Tamandua tetradactyla: one gene and its partners. The protein of the gene in region 3 purifies or fractionates together with the protein of the main gene of each other region. This does not show direct contact. Links are inferred from orthologs where the notes say so. Each region holds a gene or a part of one and is shown on either strand. Other genes may lie near its edges.

Region 1 (7,770 bases), on a different chromosome or scaffold from region 3:
TATTACAAGGTGTTAATAAGAGATGATATATGGGGAAAGTATACCTAATGTAAACTATGGACTATAGTTAACAGTAATATTTTAATGTCCTCTGATCTATTGTAACAAAGGTACCATACTAATACAAAGTTTCAACAATAGGGGAGTATAGAAGAACGCTGTATTTTTTAATATGACTTTCTCGTAAACCTACAACTTCTGTAATTAAAAAACAATAATAATTTAAAAACATTATGCTAAGTGGAAAAAATCAGACACAAAGTACTACATATTGCATGATTCCATTTATATAAAATTAAGTATAAATAAATCTATAGAGACAGAATTAGATTAGTGATTACATAGTGCCAGGACAGGACAGAGAGCTTGAAAGGTGACTGCTAAGGGGTTTGAGGTTTTTCTTTTTGGAGTAATAAAAATGTTCTAAAATGGATCGTGGCAATGAACGCACAACTCTGTGATTATACTAAAAGCCACTAATTGTGCACACTGGATGGAGTGTATGGTATGTGAAAATATCTCATTAAAACTGCCTTATAAATCACCACCACACCAAAAAGAAGAAAAATGAAGAAAATCACATGTTTCACATTGGAAAGCAGTGGCCGAATCCAAATTCTAGGCTCAGCAGCCTATAGGTATACAGGAACTCCAGCCAAGGAGACAAAGAAGCCCATAAGATACCATGGTTTCTAGAAGATACGGATGATTCTACATGAATCTAGGATACAAATTCTCTTAAGCAAAGGTCATCTTGAAATAAAACTCATGAAAATAATCAAGGACATTTTGAAAAAGAAAAAAAGACACCTTGCTTTAATAGATATCAAAACTTTCTAAAAATAACAGATCTGATTATATAAACATTTAAAACATCTAAACAGCGAAAAATTTTGACTCGAGGATTTTTGAAGCATGGAAACTCCAGGGTAGGTAGGCTTTGTAGGGTGTGGAAGCATGGAAAAACGCTTAAAGTTGCGGGCACCTGGAGCAAGGAAAGGAAGAAAGGGCTGGGCAAGTTCTGAAACAAGATGGGATGGCTCTTGTTAGAGCCATAATTTCAAAAAGCATTAAGACACAACGTAACGGTTAAGAGCACAGACTCTGAAGCCAGATTGCCTTAACTGAAATACTGACTCCACCCTTTCTCTGCCTTAGGATCCCAACTAATTGCAGTTCTTACCTCATAGGGCTACTGCAAAGATTAATTTAGAACAGTGCCTGATACATAGTAAGAGTTATATGTGGGTCTGTTGTTACTTTTAGGAGGTAGTGACAGTGCTATAAATGTACTTAGTTTCTGCTCTGTACAAGCCATCTTTCTTAAGTATTAAGGATCAAAGAAACAGGACATTTTTGCCCCAATGGAGCTTACGATTTTGCTGAGAGTGCAAGGCATAAAAAAATCAAGAGGCAAAAGGGTGATCTAAATCAAGGGTTGCCAAACTACAGTCCATGGGCTTCCACCTTAGAACAGTTTTATATATTTTTAAAGGGCTGTAAAACAAAACAAAAAAGAACATGACAGAGCCCTATGCAGGCCTCCAAAGCCTAAACTATTTTAAAAAGATTTTTTTACAGTTCAAGTCCTGTCTCCTGCCCACACAATGCTCTCTTCAGTACCTCATTCCATGAAGCACTTATTATTTAGATGAGGGGTGGCAAAAAAATCTTTTAAGTTGGAGGGCCTTTGGAGGTCATTAAAATCCTTTTTACAATTTCCTACAAGGTGATCACTGGTCATATCCAGTTTCTACTTAAAAAGTACACAATGATGGGGGACTCACTATTTGACTTGAGTTTTAACAGAAATCTCTCTTCTTTTTTTTTATACTTGTTTCAGCCTCAATTTCCCTGCCATTTTTCCCGCCCGCTGGCCCCTCTTGCTGTCTCTCTTGCCAGACATCAATCTGGTAAGCAGTGAGTCTCAGATTTATATCTGAAATCAAAAAAATTTATCTACTCTTCTCGGAACCTCCCAAACTTTAGCTAGAAAAATGCAAATAAGCCTAGGTTCATAAGAATTAAATGGAATGGGAGGAAAGTGACTGAAGCACAACAGGCCCTCAAAATTATTTCCTTTTGGCTTGAATCGTCTCATCTCTAACAGGACTCTGGAGCACCGGAGCAAGCAGCGTCTCGGCTGGAAACTAGGAGACCTAGGTTCTAGTCTTATTTCTACCACCTGTGACCTTGGATAAAATTACTCAGTCTGATTTGGGGGCTTCAGTTTCCTTACCGATCGAGTGAAGGGGGTGAATGACCGATGATACCAGGTCTCTCACAGATTTGAAAATTCCCCTGCATTATCCATCTCCGAGGAGGAGGGCGAAATGTCTCAGCTCCTCCCACACTCGAGTCCCGAAAGGACACAGGGCCGAGCTCCACCCTTTGAAGCAGAAAACGGGGTAGACCCGTGGTCCCCTTCAGGAGCTCTAAGGCCGCTGACCTGGCTACAGGTGAATAGTAAACACTCCAAAGTAGGTTTGTATGCCGACAAACTGTTGGCTAACTTGCGGTGATAAACTAAAAGACACAGGTGACACTACTGCCCACAGTACAATTAGAAGGCTAGCCCAAGTTACTGCCCCAGTACTAGTCGCTCCGGCTACAGCACGCCCAGTCGGGGCGCTTCCTTCCGCTCGCCGGAATACTAGCCTCACAGGGAGAGAAGCCTTCTGGCCGGCGGCCACAGGTCTCGGGTCTGGCGAAAGGAAAGGAAGTGCGGCTGTCGCCCGGGAAGAAACTCAGGCGGAAACCCGAACGCAAACATAGTCCCACCTTTGCTCTCGCCCGCTCCGACTCCACTGCGGCCCCGACTCCGGGTAAAATTCGGACCCAAGCGTCTAGAGTCTGTGGGGCCAAGGGGCGGGGCCTGTTTGAAAGGACCCCTCCGCGCCCCGCCCACGGGCTTCGCGGGCTGCCCGCCGGATGCCTGACTGGAACGGCGGCTCCTCGCCCCTTCCTCGACCGGCCTCTTTCCCTGACGAGGAGAACGCCCTTTTCGCCTCATGTACCGGGAGCGAAGGGCAGGGTCGCGGGGCGGACGGCACCTCGGCATCTGGGTTTTAGTCAGGCAGTACGGCGGACGCCTGGCAGGGACCACGCTGCTTGGGGGAAAAGTCCTCTGCTCAGCCGCCCCCGCTGGAAGCGCTTTCTACTTTCGTCCTTTTCCGTGCAAGATGGTGGCGTCCCGGGCAATTGGCAGCCTCAGCCGCTTCACTTCCTCTAGGACTCTTCGCTCCCCAGGTGAGGCCTGGCGGAGGGCGCTCTGCAGCCCGGGCAGAACTCCTGCCCGGCCTGGGGCGGCCCCGGAACCGCGTCTCGGGCTAGCCGGCGTCTCCCCGCCCCCGCCTGGGCCTTCCAGTGCTTGGGGTGGACGCCGGGCCCCTGCGTCCCTGTGAAGGGATTGCGGCTTCCTCTCCCACGACACCCAGCGCCGTGGGGCTTCCAGGCTCCGTAACCCCTAACTTTCTGAGTCCTTCCCACCCGGTGCCGGAATTTTCCGCAGATCTCCCGCGTCGCACTTCGGGGTTCACGCCCTTCCTACTGGATCCGGGTCCAGAAGAACGGGCATCCCCGGTCTCTCACATCTTGGCGTCTTCACAGCACCTTCCCGTAACCGGCGTGACAGGTTACTGCCGCTCCCTTCTCCTTTGTTGTCAAACCACTTTAGTACTTATTACCGCTTTTCGATGGAGCTCAGCTCTTGCCCAGTTCTGTCAATCCTAGTGTAAACGTATGTATGGTATGTTGAATTTCAACAGGAGGTTCAGCAACTTGCTGGAAAAGAAGCAACTTTTTAATTTAATGCTCAGATGTCCTGTAACTTAGAAAATAAAGCGTTAGATAATTTTATGTACCTTTTCTGATCTTGTTTCTGACACTTCCCTGTCAGCCTGCATTTGCTGTTATCTTTTCTCTTCAAATTGGCAGTGGAAGGGTTAAGGTGGGTGATGGGAGAAACTAAGCATTTCTCTCCCTTCTCAAACCTGTCACGTGAGATGTGAGATGCTGTGCCTAATACCAATTATTTAAATTGTTAAATTATCATATATATTCCCACTTCCTTCTTAGCTTGTCTTTAAGGCTGGTAGCTGAATTTCCCCTTACTTAAGAGGGATTCATTTTGGCTGATTCAATCTTTTTCTGCTTTCTCATTTCTCCCGTTGTTTTTAGTCTCCACAGGAGCATTCTCACTGATGTGTGTGTACCAATCATAGTATAACTACATTATTACAGAAATTGAAGTGTAAAGCTCAGAAACAGGGTTAAAAATAAATTACCTGTTCACTTGCTACTCACATGTTAGCATTTTGTCATCCTTCCTTACAGATTTTTTTTCTGTTTCCCACTTTTATGTTTTAACACTTTATAAAAATCAGATTGTATGTATGAGCTTACACCTGCATTGGTTTTGAGGTACTTCTTATGGGTTGACAGCTGTTGTAACACTGAACTGGTAGTCAGGTAACCTGGTTTCTAGCATCACGACCCTTTCATTAATTAGTTGTGTGATTTGGGACAGATTTCATAATCTAAGCAGGCTCTATTTTCCTCATCTGTAAAATGAATGGATGAGACTGTGGGTTTTCTTTTACTTGAGAAGTAGTTTGACAGAGAAAAGCATGAAATTTGGCCTCTGTCTTCTGAATTTAAAGCTGGCATTTACTCTCTCACGACCTTGGGCAATTTCTTTATCTCTTTTCTCATCTGTAAAAAATGTGGTTAAAAAATACCTCCTTACAAGGTTGTTTAGAAATCTAAAGGAGTTTTTTAAATGTTAATCAGTTTTTCATGGAGTAGGTGCTCAGTAAATGTTAACTATTGTTAACTCTTTACAGCCCTGAAGAACTATGATTTTTGTATATCTGGGATTTTTTTAAAGTAACTTCTACAATTTAAAAATGTGTAATAAACAGTTGCAACTTTAGTTGTGCCATATTTTCGGTATGGAGGTAAGGTATGCACATATATAAACATTTTTTTTGTATCATGTTTTCACCAGTTAGAAAGTGGCTTATTATAGTTACTGTCGTTTTGATAGCAATTTATAAATTTTGGAAAATTGCTTAGTAGGTGAATTTAAAGTTACCTGCACACCTGAATTGCCATTTAGACTCAGTAGATTGATTTCTTCCCCTTAAAGTCTGTGCCAAGATATTGCCAGACATTTAATGAGATATGGCATTTACTAGTAGATGATTAAATTTTATGAACTAGACTTGTAGTTCTTGAAGTTTTAACTCATTCCTCCTCTACCAGTACTGTAATTCTCAATTTGATTGTCAGATGAGTCACATCTAGAAAAAAATACCTTGTCTAATTCCCCCTCTCCGCAACCTAAATCCCCAATTATGTGAGCTATGAAATAATTTAATAGGAAATGTCATGTAATTGGATGCAAATACCTTACTTAGTCCTCAGCACATGCTGTATATTTAAACTTGACTCACTTCCCTAATCCCACCCTTTTCCCAGGGTTGGATTTTGAAAAAATCTGTAGGTTACTACAACCAAAGTAACATTTTCAAATTTGAAATTTGTGCCAGTATAATCCATCTGTCTCCACTGATTCTAGTCTTATAATGTGTTGTAGTTATTTCCTTGAGCTAAATGACAAAGATGATTAGAAAGTAGATCAAAGGTTACTCTCACTGGCTGGCAACAGTAGATGTAGGCTGAAGTTCACGAATTGCTGTAAGGTGAGCTCTGCTGATTTGGGATCCAAAAGCAAAGCTACTTTGAACTCTGAGTTGATTTCATTTACTCTGGTTTGAAATTCTTTTCCAAATAAGTTTGTATATCTACTGGTTTCTGTATTTTTGTCTCTATTGATTTAGAGGAACATTTGTATATTAGCTAAGATTCTCTAGAGAAACAGAATCAGCAGGAGAAATCTGTAAATGTGAAATTTATAAGTGTCTCACAAAACCATGGGGATGTAAGTAAGATCTGTAACACAGGCCATGAGCTGACAGCTCCAATGAAGGTCCTCAACGAACTTTCAGGAGAGGCTGGCTGGCTGAAGCAGAGTGATTGTCTCTTTTGAATCCTCCTTAAAAGCCTTCTGGTGATTAGATTAAGCGTCACTCATTGCAGAAGACACTCCCGTTGTGCAGCCAATGTGGTCAGGATTTAAGTTCATGAAATGTCCTTACAGCAACAGACAGCCTAGCACTTTTCTGACCAGACAACTGGGCACCACCACCTGGCCAAGTTGACACATGAACCTGACCACAGTGTACGTGTGCACATGCATGCTTAGACTACAAAAATAGCTTAGCAGGTAGGTTTAAAGGTTTTAAACTATGGTAGGCTATTGAGCAACCAGTCATTTCCAATATTTAATCTTTAAAATGGCAACCGTTGCCCAAACCCGTATACCTGCTGTATTTTCTTTTCTTTGTTTAGGGGCTTATCTTGTCACATATTTTTTTTACATATCTATCATTTCTTATGTTTCTTGGTCTGTATTATTGCACCCATCCCTCCCAACTTTCATTCTCAACCAGTCCTCTCCCACTCTCATCCACTTTACTCTGGCTCTAGCTAGAATTACCTATTCCCTGCTTTCCCTCCCATTGGAATTTCTACTACATTATAAGCAATTTCCATTCTTTCCAGGTCTGTTTTCACCCATTCATTTATCTCTACTAAGTAGGAACTGATTCTCCCCAGATACTGTATCCCTTCCTGGCCTAGAATGTAAGCTCTATAAAGACAGGGATTTTTGTCTTCTGATTCTCTCCAAGTGCCTAGAACAATGAATGGCACATGGTAGGCCACAACAATTGTTTTTGTTGACTGAATGACTACAAGAGCCTGTTGGAAGAGATTACAGTTTAATTGGGGGAAACACCTGCTACAGATGCAGAGATTACAGAACAAAACAGTAAATAATAAAGATCAAAATGCAGACAGAGAAGGGAAAAATTGTTTTAGATTAGAATCTGAAGAAAAGACTATGTGGAAAAGATTGGAGCCATGATACAGAGACAAAGAAGTAAATAAAGATGACATGATATGTAAATACAGGGACTTGGCAGAATAGGAGAGGCAGAGTTCACTCCGGCTCCATGCAATGAGAAATGGTACAGAAAAAAATGACTGGGACAGTGGTTCCAAGGAGGTAGTGACCAGAGACAGTCTTCTACCCTGTATAGGGAAGCCCTGAATGAAAAAGCAGAGAAATTGGTACAGAGAGAGTGGGGTGAGTATGCGTGGTAATTATTCCAGCCTACTGCTGCCTTGTTAAATCTCCCCTCGCAGCTCCACAGCCAGGAGTTCCCTTGGGGAACTTGGAAGCCAGCACACTTGCTTTCCCTGCCCACAAAGACCAGTTGGTCAGGGTCTAGTAACTGTTTCCTACTCCTAAGACAGGCTGCTATGGGTGCCTGGTCTTTTTTGGCAGAAACTTTGGGGCCTTTCCTGGGGAGGAGGGGGAGACCCAGAGTGGTTCCTGTCTTGACAGCCAGCCAGCAAAGTAGGCTTGTTTGGGTCCTGATATTGCTACCCTTCCCTCATGAGGTCCCAGAGACCTCAGGCGTCCACAACCAGAGAGATGAGACTGAGGAAGCCAGCCAAACAATGCTGTGACTAGACATTTCCAGGTTGGCTGTAGTCAGGGAAAGTTGAAATACCCAGTTCCACAGCCCACGATCATCCAAAGTGGGAGTCTAGGGGCTACCAGATCTAACAGGGTCTATGCAGAGATGAACACTGTCCATCCCCCAGCCCCAGATTTGGTATCTTTCAATGAGCAATGAG
Region 2 (7,609 bases), on a different chromosome or scaffold from region 3:
CACCTACTGTGTGCCAGGTGTTACCACCCCAGGCCTGAAGGCAGGGATGCATGGGGCCCACCATGCCCTGCAGGAGCTCAGTCAGTGGAGGGCTGAGGCAAAGAGAAAAAAAGGCAGGCTCCGGGCAGTCTGCCCTGGCAAAGGAGGCGCCCATTTCCTTATTCCCTCTGGGGGACGCTGGTCAAGAGGATGGGGGCCTCAGATGTGACAGACCTAGGCTAAACAGAGTCCACCTCTGCATTCAAGCTTCCTGCCCCGGCCCGACCTTATCAATCTATACAGGTACAGGATTTTTTGTGAATTTTGCTGAAATTTAATCAGTGCCTTGGCACACACGCTCGTTAATAATACAGCAATAACTATGTTTAAAATCACAGGGGTTATAAGGGGGGGCAACGGTGGCTCAGTGGCAGAATCCTCACCTGCTGTGCTGGAGACCCGGGTTCGATTCCCGGAGCCCATGCAAAAAAAAAAAAAAAAAACCACAGGGGCTACATTTACTGAGTTCTTTCCAGACTACTACTATGGAGCAAAGCACTCTGCAGCATCCTCCCAAAAAGCCTCAAGGGCTAGCGTCACGGTTTTTCCAAGGCTATTTCAGTGCCAGGCCCTGTCCTGAAAGCTTCGCGTTACTAACCACCTCATTTTATTCTTCCAAGAACCCCACGACGGAGAAACATAATTGCTCCCTTTTTACAAAAAAAAAAACTGAAGTCTGGTATTTTCCCAGTTGTGTGACCTTGGGCAAATCACTTGAGCTGCGGGTCTCAAATCCACAGTCTGGCCCCGCCGCGTTTGGTGAATGAATGAGCGACCGAGACAGGAATCCCTCTCAAGGCCACTGCAACCACGCGGCTCCGCTCCCGGCCTCTTCTTCCAAGGCCTACCCCCCCCCCCGCCCCCGCCCAGGCCCAAGCCCCTGTCCCTGCGGCCTAAGTCGACTCGGCCGCCCGTTCTGCCAGGAAAGGCGCTGGAACGCGCGAGCCGCGCCGCACGCCAGCTTCTTCGGGCGTGGGCCGAGCGGGTCGGGCCGGGCCAGGGGCGCGGGGCAGCAGGCGTCACACGCGGCTCATCACCAGGGCGGCAGCGTGGCCCGCGCAGGCCTCGGGCCTGAACTGGGGCGCGTGGGCGGCGGACAGGCCCCTGCCCGGCCCGCGCTGGCGGGCTCGAGGGCCAGAGGGCACCGCGAAGGAAGGTCACCTAGACCCGCGGCCGGCCGGGCCTCCACGCGACCGCCCGTGCCCTTCCGCCCCCATGTGCTCTGCAGCGCCCACGGCTCCGGACCCCCGGCCTCAGCACCCCGCCCGGGTCCGCCGGGCCCCCGACCGCGCGGCCTCCTCGGCCGGCTGCTGACCCGCCAGGCCCGCAGGGGCCACTCCGCACTCTCCCTCGGGCTTCCTGCTAGGCCCTTGGCCTTCGCGCGCTCCTCCCCCATCTCGCCCTCCCAACTCCCCCGGGCCCAGGCCCGCGGCACCCGGCGCAGGCGGAGACCGAGCCCTTCCCCGCGGCGCCTACCTCAGAGACGGAGGCGGCGGGCTCGGCGGCGGCTACGGCGGGGGCTGCGGCGCAGAGGAACCGAGCGAGCGGCGGGGCCGGGGCGGGGCGGCGCCGACGGCGGCGGCGCGGACCCGCCCCTACCCTGCGCACCCGGCCCGGCGTGCTCCGCCCCCAGGTCCCGCCCGGGCCGCCTCCCAGGCCCCAGCCCAGGTCTACGTCCGGCCCCCCAGCTGCGCTCTGACCTCAGCGGGTTTCTCCAAGCCCCGGGCGGACGCGTGTGTGGGCGCGCGTGAGTGCCTGCGTGCACGCGTGCACGGAACGACGGGGAGGGATGGCACCGACGTGCGCACGGTGTGTGCGTGCTCGGGGACATGCGTAGCGACCGCACGAGCGGGCCGGTCATTCCTGGAAATTTCCCGCCGGGTGGGGTCTTCCGGTTAGCTGAGCCGGGTTCCCGCGCTAAAGAAAGGCGCGCGGGGCTGCGGAGAGACGCTCCCCCTGGGAATTGACGTGGAAGGCGGCGCCTGGGTGGGAGGGGTGGCCCCCACGTGCCCCCCACAGACCCGCGCGGAGTGTAACGTCGGGGTTAGTCCCGGGCCGGCGGCCGCCACTGCCGCTCCTCGGCTCCGCGATCTGGACACAATGTTTCGGGCGCCTCTGACTGTCCCGTAAGCGGCATCCGATTCTCAGAGCCTTCCCCGTCCAGGGGCGAATCGCGGGGAAGGCTCCACCTGGCACGGAGTTCGCACTGCAAATTAGCAGGTTTTCCCCCTGTTTTCCCCTGTAGTACAGCTACTAGCAGCCATTTCCCGGGCCTTTGAGGAGTGAAAGAAGTAAATTGCATATTACAAGGATGGCGACTGCTGGGTCTTACTAAGCGCGAATGTCACCGCCCATTCCCACCCGCCGGTCGAGCGCCCCGCGGGGGACCCGCGTCCAGCCTGGGCCCGGCCTCCCCGCGGTACAATGTGCCTGGGGTGAATGACGCTCGTCTCCCCGCTAGACTTCGAGCGGGTAGTGACCGAAGCTGCCAACCGAGAGTCCCGCGGGAGCCTTTCCCACGCAGACTTCGAGGGTTGATGAACTCGTGGAGATTCTGCGCACCCTTCCCCTTCGGCCAGTAAATGTCCTTAACAGCGTTTGGAGCGCCGTGTTGGAGAAGCAGAGCTACAGAGTCAGAGCGCTGGTCACGGGCAGCTGTGGCATCCGCTAAAGCAGACGACAGCTGGGGCCAGCAAGCAGGCGGCAGATTCAATAGAAAAAGCGGCAACTCGGGTTAGAAGTGGTGTTCCTATGGAGGGAAGGGGGTGAGAAAGATGGGAACTGATACACAACAGCCCTAGGCCTTTTGGGGGCTCAGAGCCCCTCCGGGTCCTAGGGAGGGGAGGGGAGAACAGAGCCTAGGCCCCTCTCCAGGCCAGTGAGTTACCTCTTTGCTAACTGGAGCCTCAGGCTTGCCAAGTTGGCTGTCCCTACACAGGTCCCAGCCCACTCCCAGAGAGGGGCGGGCAGAGAAAGCTGCTGAGTCACTCACAGTGCACAGCGAGGCAGAGTTCCGCAGGCCAGGAAGGACTTCAGGGAAGCAGAGCGGAACCAGGTGGCCCTGAGGGAAGGCGGGGCTTGAGAAACCTTGCGCTGGTTAGCATAGGAGCTCAGCTGTGAAGCTGAAAGAAATTGTCTGAGATGCTTTCTCTCCCCTGGTATGTTCCCCACCACCCCATCTTGTTAGGGTCTTTAACCTGCCCCCACCTGCCCTGACGCCCTTCCACAGCTCCCCTAGGTGCTACTTTCAGGTTAATCCCTGCATGCTCTCAGAACTACTTAGTGGCTGTGGGACTCTGAGCAAGGAGCCCAACCTCTCAGAGCTTTAACTTCAGAGGATTGTTGCAAGCTTAAAATGAGACATGTAGCAAGAAAACATTGAAGAAACTCAGCTGGAACTGGCAGGGGCGTTGAAGACTTTGGTACCTAAATGCAGAGCCTTCTCTGACCAGGTGAAATCTCAGGGAAAACTCTCCGGTGCACCACGTTTGCACTGCAAATTAGCAGTTTTCCCCCATAGCAAAGCTCCTAGCAGCTATTTTTCCAGGTATTTGAGAAATGAAAGAAGTAAATTGCTTCTTGCAAAGCAGTTGGCTGCTAGGTCTCACGAAGCCTGTGAAGTTAGTCTTTTATACCAGGTCATAACACACGCACACAGACACACCTTAGCCACACCTCCTCCCTCCCTGCCACAGCTGATTGGCATTGGGGTGGGCATCTAATTCGGGCCCAGCCATCAGGTCCTCTCTTGCAAATGTGAGCTAAGAAACCCCAAGTCAGAGTGTGTTTCTTCCTGTCCTTGGGTTTCCTTGTGCCACTTCGATAACACTCCTTGAGCTTGACCCGGCCAGGGTGCAGTTCTCCCAGCAGAACACCTGAGTTCCTAGATGGTAACTGAAGGGGGTTGTGGGGACTAGTCAGCCCTGACCACAGTTTTTCTTTGGGCAAATGACCCTTATTCCCCTCTTCACAGTCCACAAGCTGCAATGGAGCTCACCGCATCCCTGACTCCAGGGCCATTCTTCAGGTCGCCACGTGGCTCGCCCTGGCCAGTGCAGTACTGCTCGCCCTGGCTACAGGGAGGGACCAACGAGACCAGTAAGACTTTTCTCAGGGCTGTTGAGAGAAAGACTTCCCCTGAAAGTGATGCCAGCCCACAAGACAGAGGCAGAGCTCAAGTCCTGGGGACATGATGCTCCTGGAGCCAGCCAGGTATAAAGATGCACCCTGTGCTTTCCAGCCACCTGAGCCAATCAATTCCCTTTTTGCTTAGCCCACCTTGGGTTGAGTTTTCTTCCAAGTCCTAATTCAGTTCTCCTCTCTTCAAACAAAACATAGTACAGCAGTCAGGGAAGATCTTTCTTTTATTTTTAACATTGAAATGGGTTACCAGAGTAAGAATACTTTATTGTAAGGAAGTTCTTTCTTATATCTAGCAGTCATAGGGCTTCTACTGAAGATATCTATCAAGGTGGAGAGCAGCCAATCACCTTCCTAAGAACCTGACCCCTTCCCACCTGTGCTGATTTAAAACTATCATGTACCCCAGAAAAGCCAGTGTTATTTAATCCAGTCTTGTAGGAGCGGACCTGTTGTAGGGTGTGACCTTTTGATTTGATTCTTTACCGGAGTCCTTAAAGGAGCTCACAGAGAGGAAGAGTTCAGAGCTGACAAGAGAGCAGAGATCTAAAACCAGACACAGACATTTGGCAATGTAGAAGATGCCAGAAGCCCCAGGAGAGATGAGAAGCTGAGAGAGACATTTGAAACCAGAAGCCAGGAGAGGACAGCAGATGTCACCATGTATCTTCCCCTGTGACAGAGAAACCCTGGACACCATTAGCCTTTTTTTCAGAGTTAAGGTATCCTTATCTGGATGCCTTAATTTGGACGTTTTCATGTCCTTAGGACTATAAACTTGTAACCTGATAAATACGTTTGTAAAAGCCAATCCATTTCTGTTATATTGCATTCCAGAAGCGTTAGCAAACCGAGACAGCACCCTTCTTTCAGGGCCAAAGGTCCTGGTACCACAACATGATTTCTTAGCGTGGTCCATGGATGAGCTCCGTGAAGGCAGAAATGGAAGGTGCAACTTATATAAATGGTTATTTAAAGAGAAAAAATTTTCTGCTTGTAACCAGCATCAATTAGTTTTATTACAAAACTGAATTGTTATAAAACCTAACCTTTCTGACCGTTTTCCAGAAAAGTCATCAGACCTGAATATGGGTAGGAGGAGTCAGAATTGAGGATTTGTGGTCAAGGATGTCAGCTCACACATCCCATAGTGTGTTCTGACCCTCATCATCCGAGCAAGGACCCAGCACCCAGGTTCTGAGTGACGTGGAGAGCAGTGACCAACTGGGGAAACAGGATGGAATTCATCCCAAGATGAGGACAATAAAAAATTTTCTCATCCGTATGCAACAACTGGTGACGTCCCAGGTCTAAAATAGTTCAAAGAAATTTCAACATCATCTTCCTGGATTTTAAATTATGTATATATAAAGGAGGAGAAGAGGGAAAAAATGGAAAGAAATTTAATATTAATAAAAATTGTAGCTTCAATTTATGTGACTATGAATGATTTTTTTCCTTTGGTCTTTCCTATATATCCCAAATACTCTTTAATGAGTGTATAATACCATCATTATAAAAATAAAGAACTTTTTATTTAATTTTTGAAAAGCCAAAGAGCTTGTATAAATAGATACAATCTTCTGGAAAGCAATTAGGCGATAAGTAATAAGAATTATAAGTCCGTTCTACCCACGAGAGGCTGCGCGAAAGCAATAATCGTAAGAATAGGTGGTCATGGGTTTTTTTGTTTGTTTTGGGGTGTGTGGGCTGGGAATTGAACCCGGGTCTCCCGCATGCTGGGAAGCATTCTAGCACTGAACCATCTGTGCACCCAATAATTCTAAGTATGGGAAATGCCAGCTGCAAAACGATGTATAGTAGTCCAGGATGGAATACAGCCTGGTTTCCAGCTTGAGCAAATTGAAGCACATCCCCTCCCTGGGATGGATGTGCACATCTCATTCACAGCCTTGAGAAAATATGGTTACAAAGACTTCACATGGGAAAAAAATCCTGCTACAATGTTAATTGAAGGCAATCTTATATTCAGTATTACTGCAACCACAGCATTAAAAATGTAGAGGTGAACTGCCGTAGAGAATAATGGCACACACCCCCCCCCCCATAAAATTGTTGTACTAATTTCCTATGGCTGCCGTAACAAAGTATGGCAACAGAAATGTATTGTCTGGACGACTTGAAGCAATAGAAATGTATCATCACACAATTCTGGATGCTAGAAGCCCAAAATCAAAGCATGAGCAGGGCAATGCGCCCTCTGAAGGCTCCTAGGAAGAATTCTTCCTTGCCTCTTCCAGCTTCTGGTAACCCCGAAGTGTTCTTTGGCTTGTGGGCGCATCACTCCATCAGTCTCTATCTTGACATGTCTGTGTCTTCTCTTATAAGGAAGACTGATTTAGGGCCCGCCCTAAATCCAAGATGATTTCATCTCAGATCCTTAACTAATTACATCTGCAAAAGCCCTATTTCCAAATAAAAGTCTCTCTAAAAAAACGCTCATGGTAATGAATACACAACTATGTGATGATATTGTGAGCCATCGATTGTACACCAAGTGTGGAATGCACGGGTGTGAAGATTTCTCAATTAAAAAAAAGAAAAGAAGGTCTCATTCTAAAGGTCCGAGGGATATGAATTTCAGGAAGACACTAACCAACCCGCTGCATCCTAGTCTACGTCCTAGTCTCTGGAACCTATGAGTATGTTACAGCACATGTCTAAAGGGTCTTTGCAGATGAGTTTGCTTTTAAGGATTTGGGGATGAGGAGAGTATCCTGGATTACCCAGGTGGGCCCAGTGAAGGCACAAGTTTTCTTCCAAGAAAAAGGCAAGAAGGTCAGAACCATAAAAGGAGACATGACTAAAGGAGAGGGAGAGAAGATGCAATGACAGAAGCAGAGGTCAGAGAGAGAGACATCTGAAGATGCTACACTGTTGCTGTGCCCCCCCCCCCCTTAGAGTCCCCACAGGAAGGAGCCCTACCACTCCCTTGACTTTATCCCAGTGAGCCTGATTTTGGACTTCTGACCTCCAGAGCTGTAAAATAATACATCTGTGTTATTTCAAGCCACTGTGTTTGTAGTAATTTGTTACAACTGCAATAGAAAATTAATACACAACCCCCTGGAAGATGATACTATAATGACTTCTTTTTTAGAAAATATTTTTATTGAGAAATAGCCACACACGTACAGTCCAACCATAAAATGCAATCAGTGGCTCACAATATCATCACACCATTGTGTATTCTTCACCATGATCATTTTTAGAACATTTGCATCACTCCAGAAAAAGAAATTAAAAGAAAAAAAAACTCATACATCCTATACCCCTTACCTGTCCCTCTCATTGACCCACAGTATTTCAATCTACCCATTTTTACCCTTTATCTCCCCCCATTATTTATGTTTTATCCTTTTTTTTAACTCATCTGTCCATACCCTGGATAATAGCATCAGACACAAGG
Region 3 (7,098 bases):
CCTTATTTTCAGGAAACGTACTTGCAGTAATAAGTGTTCAAGGAGCATGATGTATGCAACCTAAACTCAAATGTTTGGAAAATGGATTGATAATAGATAAACAGATAGGTAGATAGATGGGTGGATAGATAGCATGATATGGCAAAATGTTAAAATTGGTGGATCTGGGTATCTGGGAGCAGGGGGACAGGTAGGCAGGCGTTCTCTGTTTGAGGTCCGCATTATATTTGTCCGGTACGTTTGAAATTTTCAAAATAAAAAGTTTCTAAAAATGAAAAAAAAAAAAAAAAAAGGAAACCATAGAAGTGAAAGTGCTTTAGGACAAAGCAAATTTTAATCCTGTTATCAGCTGACAGATTTCTGATGATCAGTGCTGTGCCTAGTCCTGTGCTTTTTAAGCAGGAGGTAATATATTTGCTGCTATTCAGGGAAAATGAAAACATTTGGTATGGCAAGTGAGGGCAAAGAGACTTTGGTCCTTCCTGATCGCTAGCTCATTGATCTCCCCAAATTTTTTACTTCCTATGGAAAAGGCTAACTTGGGGTGGGCTCCAACTCATATTCTAAAGCCCTTAATTGTAATGGTGTGTTTATCCAATTCAGCGAGGACTTGCTCAAAGTGCCAGCATCCTTGGCTCTCAATACTGACTTGCATCATATTTTTCATACATCTGCTGACTGTCTCCACAATGGCTGGGCCAGCCCTCCAGAGTTCTGGTCAACTCCTCCTCGAAGCCATCTACACTTGGCAGCCTTGAGGTCTGTACATGCTGAGTCTCTGGGACAATCAATTTAATTATGCCTCAAACTAAGAGCTTAAAAAGAGCTGACAGGAAAAGAGGCAGATCGAAGACAGGCAGAACTTTCTCCCCACTAGCAGCCCCATCATCCCTTGCTCTGGTCTGGAAGTTAGAAAAGCTGCATGAAATTCCTGCCATTATACAGCGCCAATCACTCCCTGGGACTCAGTTCTTCATTGTAAAATAAGGGTTCGATTCAGAAACTTTTCCCAAGAGAAGAAGCCTATACCCACCGCCCCCCCCCCAAAAAAAATAATAAAGGACATTTTCTTCTTTGGTCACTGTGTTCCAAGGTATCTCTCTTGTATCTGAGACAGTTTATACCTGAGTCCTGGCCATGCTTTCTCATTTTCTGAATTCCACAGGCCTGTCCGGGGGGATTCTTTCCATAACCCTTTCGCACAAAAAGCGTGCAACTCCTGCTTCTTTCTCATTTTTTTCCCCCTTAACCTCTTAAAATTAGTCCTCAGTTCTTGGGGTTAATCTCTACCTCTGAAGACTAAACAGAAGTGTCTAGACCATGGCACGTGGGTGTAGTGTTTAGGGAAAGATGCAGCTTTAGAGAAGCAATAGGGAGGTCCTTTCTGGTTTTCTGAAATGTCTTCGTTGAATTATGTTTCTTTTGATAGGACTGAAATGAAAATGGCATTAGCAAACACCCTAAACATGGAATGGGATTCACCTCTAGAGATGGGATCAGATGATGGTGGGTGTTTGCTAATCTGCTTAGGCCATTTCTATTAGGTAGTGATACCTCTTCCTTGCAATGTTGCACAAACTAGACTGGTGAAGGATGGGAGAAAGTAGGGAGGAAAGGCTGTAGCCAAGATCCTTTTGGTCATCAAAGATGAGCGGCCCAGGAAAACCTTCTGTATTTGTGAAGACTGCAATTTTGAAAGCTATTGTTATTTCTCCAACCAAAGCTTCCTTGGTGCTTTGGTTAGAGGCCAAACTTCAGAAGTAGGAGGATGGTTCTAGTTTTGATATTTTGAGTCCAGATGACCCCAATCATTAGCTCAGTGACCTTGTGAAGTCTCAGACCTTCAGTTTCTCATTTTGTAAAGTGCGGCCAAAGCCCTTTACCTTGCAAACTTATGAGAATCCAAGTAAATAATACATGCAAAATCGCTATCTGGAGCCTAAAGCCAAATACAGATCTTAGTTAATAGTTTTCAAGTTCTTATGTCCTTTTCCCCACCCTGTAACATAGCTAGAACTCTGGGATCCTCCTGGAAGGACCTTCATCAACCTTCAGCTGCCAGGTAAACAGCTCCAGAGACAAGGGGAAATGCCTTGATATATTAGGGTTATATTGCTGAATGAATGAATATTTTACATACCAAGGGAGAGAAAGGAGATCAGTTGGCAGGAGAAATTTACATTGTTCAGACTTTTGCTTTCTACTTTTTTTGTTGTTGTCTTTTGTGTGCTTTTGCCATTCAGACCAGGGCCCAAGGAATAATTAATCTCAAAGCAGTTAAGAGATCTCTAGCAAGCAAAAGCCTCCTGCAGGCTAGCAGTAACAGAGGGCTTTAGGGTATGTAAATGAAGCATTTTCTGGAACCTCGGAGACACAGCCCAGATAACACTCTCTAAACACCTTCTATTAAATTAGCAGTGTTAAGAACTTTATTCTGGATTTGGGGACTCTAACCACAGCAGTCATGATTTTGAGTTCACTTTGTAATTCTTCTCTCCAGGTCCTGGCTTGATTTAACCATGCCTGTAGATCACTGCAAGAGACGCCAAACCTAATATATTCTTGGGTGAGAGGAAAGGGCTGTAAGAAACACTTTCTTCTAGGAAGGGGTGAGAATTATCTAACTGATAAGGCAGTGACTAATTTTTGTCTCCTCCCCTTCCCTTCCCCATTTCTTTCCTTTCCTCCCCCATTTGTTTCCTTTCCTTCCCCTTTCCTTTCTGATCCTTTCCCCATTTCTTTTGTTTCACATCCTTATTTGTTCATGTTGAATTAATACTTGAAGTTGATAAAGAGCCAGTTTTAACTTGCTTAAGAAGTTAATGTTTTCCTTAGGAATTCTCAGAGGCTTGCAGTGACTTTCTCTTGCGAATCCTGTGCTTTCCCAGAGTGTACTTGACTTTCTGAAAGCACTGTTAATAATAATAATATATATATTTTAATGTTGATCAACTTCAGCCATTGCAGCCTGTGCTAAGAAACAGAAGCTGTAATGGGAGGGAAGCCCAGCGGTGCAACCCGCCCGGGCTAGGGGTGGAGAGCGGGACTCTTCTTGAGCCTCTCGTCACCCCCCAGACCATTCCTAGACCATTCCAAGGCTGCGCTGGAGATGACACTGCTCTCCTCAGGTAGGAGCAGGGGGTTGGAGATGAACCAAACTGGTACCTAAACATCTAGCCCTGGAGTCAGACCCTTTTGCTTAAGATATGCTTTCTTCGGGGTTTCAAATTTCCCTGCTCTAAACAGCGAATCCGCAAACTGTACTAGTAGGTTTCATTCACACAATAGCATGAATGAATTCATTAGACACCCTTTAGATTGGCACTTCGGGACCCTGAAGCAAGGAAGTTGGAGGGGGGCGCCGAGGACCTCCGGCCAGGCCAGCGCAGAGCGGCGCAGGTGGGCGCTGGGCCTGGACTCCGGGGGAGGCGGAGTCCCTCCGGCCGGCGCAGGCTGCACGCAGCGTCCCCGGCGCGTCCCCTGGGGCCAGAGGAGCTCCCACATGTGCTGGAAAAGCCACTCCGCGCGCCGTTTCTGCCCCAGTCCGCAGAGATTGGGGGAACCCAGGTCCCGAGAACACGGCCGCACCCAGCGTGGACCTCCTGTGCCCTACAAAGCAGCCGGGCCAGCCACAGACAGCGGCGGGCGGAGGGGCGTGGGCGCCGCACGGCAGCCGCGCTCGGGCGCTGGGCCCGCAGACGCTCCCCCGGCGCGAGCGCGGCCTCCCGGGACGCGGGCCCGCGCTCCCCCAGGCCCCGCCGCCCTCCCGCCGCGGGCCGGGCCCGGCCGCAGCCGGCGCGCCCCCGGGCTGGGGGTGGGGCTTGGGCGGGGGCGGGGCCGGGCGCGAGGCCGGTGTCGGGTTGCTCCGGTAACGGTGACGTGCCGCGGCGTGGGCGGGGCCAGCACGCAGGTTGCATATTTTAGGAAGTGAGGAGGAGGCGCGGGCTCGAGCTGCGGCGGGGTCTGGGGCTCGGAGCAGCGGCGGGAGGAGGCGGACACGTGGCAGCAGCAGCCTCAGCAGCCCCGGCGGCGGCCTCGGCCCGAGCCGCCGGCCGCGCTCGCTCCCTCCCGCCCCGCGGCAGCCCTAGTTGCCTCCTCTGCGCTCCCCCGGCCCGGCTCGCTCGGCCGGGAGCTGCTCTTTCCTTTTCTCTTTTGATTCTCCAGTTGCCGGGGCCGGCGCCGGGCGCACACCACCGCCACCATGGGGAAGGGGGTAAGTGTCGGGCGAGCTTGAGGAGGGGGCGCGGGAAGCCTGGAGGAGAGGAGGGGGAAGTCAGGAGGACGGCGGGCCGGGCGGAGCGGCGGCGGCGGCTGAGGAGGAGGAGGAGGAGGAGGAGGAGGAAGCAGCGCGGCGCGGTACGGGTTGGCAAAGCCCTGAGGCTTAAAAGACGACGCACTTTGCAAACGGAGGGGGGGAGCGCTGTAATGGGGTGAGGGGCAAAGGGAGCGCGGGGCGGCGTGGAGACCCCCGAGGGGCTCGTGGAGCCCGGAGAGGGGCTGCGCACGCCGAGCGCGGAGCGGGCGGGGGTCCCGGCGCCGGGGCTGGGGGGTGGGGGAGGAGGAGGGCGAGCGGCAGATGGGTGGCCCCGGGAGGGAGCCGGCGGCCGGCAGCATCCCCGAGCCCGGATCCCCTCCCTCCCTCCGCCCGCCTTCACCTCCCATCTCTTCTTCCTTTTTGCCCTCCGCCCTCCGTGCCGGGAGGAGAGGCGCGCCCCTCCCTTTCCCCTGGGGCGCTGCGCCGGGCGCCCGGCTCGGGGTTGGGTGGCCTCCCGGGCTGCGGTTCCCGCCGAGGGCCGGGCGCCGTCGGGGTCCCCCGCGCCGGGGGACAGCTGCGCGGGGTCGAGGCTCCTTCTCCTGAAGGTGCTGGGGCTTAGCCAGCTCCCCGCAGAGGCGTCCGCCTCCCCCAAAGGAAGAAACAACAACAACAAAAAAACAAAACCAAAAAAAAACTGGCTTCCCCTTACTTACTGCGGAGCCGGTCGAGCGGGCTAGTGCCAGAAAGGGTGTGTCTCCAGCGCCCTAAGATGGCCCTTGAAGGTATACTTTTGAGCGCTTTAATGGGCCACTTTCCATAAATACTAGATGCGTCCGGGCAGCTGGAATTGTCAGCTGAACCTCTTGACTGGAGGGGTGTTAATTTTTTGCAAGGATGTGCCTTGGCGGAGGACAGGCAAAACCACCGGGGCCTCCGGATAAAATAAGACCCCAAAAAGGACCCGAGGCCCAGGGCAGCCCGTTTGTACTTTGGTAGGAATGCTCCTGCAGGCTCCAGCCGACTCACCGAAGGGCGGTCCCCAAAGGAAGTGAGTGGTCTCCAGGGCAGGAGCACCGTGGGAATACCATAACAACATCACCTTCCTGCCTTTCTGTAGCGCAAAGCCCTGATCACTCGTGGCCGCAGAAGACCGGTTCCGGCCCCGAAGGAGACAATGTCTAGTTAGGATCCACTTGACAAAAAAATATATATCCTCTTAAATGTATCAGTTCACGAAATAAAAATGACCAAGTCTTGAGACTGCTGGTGGCATAGGATCCTTCTCCGTTATCTCCGGGGCTTATTCTTAGCACATGCCCTGCACTTAGTAGGTCTTTGGGGCCCCTGGGTATGGATTAGGGATGGGGCCAAGGGGAGGGCCGCATTCTTTGGGGACTCTAAATGGGTTTTGAAGGTGGTGATTGAAAGGCTTGGACCTGGGAGGGAGAGGTGGAAATGCACAACTTGTCTCTCCTTGAAAAGCGCAAGATGTTGAGAGCTGGCACTAGCCAGGCAGCATTAGGGCAAAGCGTCTGTATTTTCCCGATGGTAATTGGGTTAGCGGCCTATGCCTGGACCACCCCATCAAACTGTAGGTCATTCTTGTAAACAAGCTTTTTCAAGCTCATTCTTTTATATTTTCTCCCTTTAAAAGCTTATTTCCGGAGGGAGGAGACATCACTGACGGGGGAGGAGGTAGGAGGTAGATAAGTGCCTGAGGCCTAGGAAGGTGAACTGGCTTGCTCAAGGTCAAGCAGCTGGTTAATGGGTTAGTGACAGCCCAGAAGGCCTGAATTCCTGAATGGTCCCCTAGTCTCTGCAAGCATGACTTGACGTTTACTGCTGAACATAGCCTCATATGCAGATCTCTAAATATCTCTCCAATGAAACTGGGGTTTTTGTGCTTTTTTAATTAATGGGCCACGTTGATGGTGTTCAGGTAAGTTATGTCTGTATGTCTCTCCCATAACCACACAGGTACAGTAGTGGCAAAAATAGCAACAAACTCAGGTAGTTAGTGGAGAATGTCTTATTACCACAAAATGTTTGTTGGCTAGTAAACGCAAAATTGAAGTACAACTGGGTTAACACAGGATGATATGCTTGTCTCCTGGGTTGTATTTAGTATTCTGAGAACGCTGATACATTGAACATCAAGTTGCGTGTGTGTGTGTGTGTGTGTGTGTTTGGTGTTGGTAAAGATTCTTCCAGGATAAAGTTGCCCCTTTTGTCCCCAGTGACTTACTGTGATAGTCCAAATGTTCAGGAAGATATTTCACGCTGAAATGTTGGGATTTTTCCACATGGGGATTAAAACGTGGGTGGAGTGGTGACTAAAGCCCTGCTGATAATTGGTTAACCAGGAAGCCTGTGCTGGCAGCTAATTTTTAAGGTCATTGTAAATTTCTTTCCCTCCTGCTCCTACTACAGTTTGGGACCTAGGTTTGAATGATATTGCAGGTAATTCTATGTCTGTTAAAAAAAATCAGTCCCCCAGCTTCTGGTAAGCAAATGAAAGAACAGCTCTTGCTGAATCATTCCTGGATGAAATAGGATTTTGTCCTTTTTTTTTTTTTTTTTTACTGGGTATTTTTGCCAGTAACTTGGCTTAAATCTTCAGTTAGGCCTACCACCCACAGCTAGTTAGCTCACCAAAGGTAAGCATCATAATTATTCAAAATTGTAAGAAACTCTCCTCAAGCTTAGAAAGAGTGGGGGAAGGGAAGTGTCACCAAATCTCTCAGGGCAGTTCTTGATTCAGTTTGAATATTAACTTAGTTGCCTAGAAAATAAATCATAGCTTATGAGTAGTGATTTAAAGAGGGACAGAGAAAAAAGGTTCA

The links.
Region 1: the proteins of ATP1A1 (region 3) and HADHB fractionate together in Homo sapiens (co-fractionation; 3 studies listed by BioGRID, with this or other methods). This does not show direct contact. The link is inferred for Tamandua tetradactyla from reciprocal best matches to the Homo sapiens genes ATP1A1 and HADHB.
Region 2: the proteins of ATP1A1 (region 3) and VDAC1 fractionate together in Homo sapiens (co-fractionation; 3 studies listed by BioGRID, with this or other methods). This does not show direct contact. The link is inferred for Tamandua tetradactyla from reciprocal best matches to the Homo sapiens genes ATP1A1 and VDAC1.

What each region holds. Positions count from the first base shown.
Region 1 is NC_135329.1:9,960,662-9,968,431, reverse strand, and holds the start of HADHB (trifunctional enzyme subunit beta, mitochondrial), read right to left. Parts: upstream 3,062-7,770; coding exon 2,782-3,061; intron 2,716-2,781; exon of another isoform or gene 2,240-2,715; intron 1-2,239. Other genes in the region: HADHA (trifunctional enzyme subunit alpha, mitochondrial), read left to right, coding at 3,012-3,249. UniProt on the Homo sapiens protein: Mitochondrial trifunctional enzyme catalyzes the last three of the four reactions of the mitochondrial beta-oxidation pathway.
Region 2 is NC_135346.1:13,052,794-13,060,402, forward strand, and holds the start of VDAC1 (non-selective voltage-gated ion channel VDAC1), read right to left. Parts: upstream 3,051-7,609; 5' UTR 3,032-3,050; intron 3,020-3,031; exon of another isoform or gene 2,927-3,019; intron 1,604-2,926; exon of another isoform or gene 1,516-1,603; intron 1-1,515. UniProt on the Homo sapiens protein: Non-selective voltage-gated ion channel that mediates the transport of anions and cations through the mitochondrion outer membrane and plasma membrane.
Region 3 is NC_135337.1:4,653,998-4,661,095, reverse strand, and holds the start of ATP1A1 (sodium/potassium-transporting ATPase subunit alpha-1), read left to right. Parts: upstream 1-4,050; 5' UTR 4,051-4,201; coding exon 4,202-4,213; intron 4,214-7,098. UniProt on the Homo sapiens protein: This is the catalytic component of the active enzyme, which catalyzes the hydrolysis of ATP coupled with the exchange of sodium and potassium ions across the plasma membrane.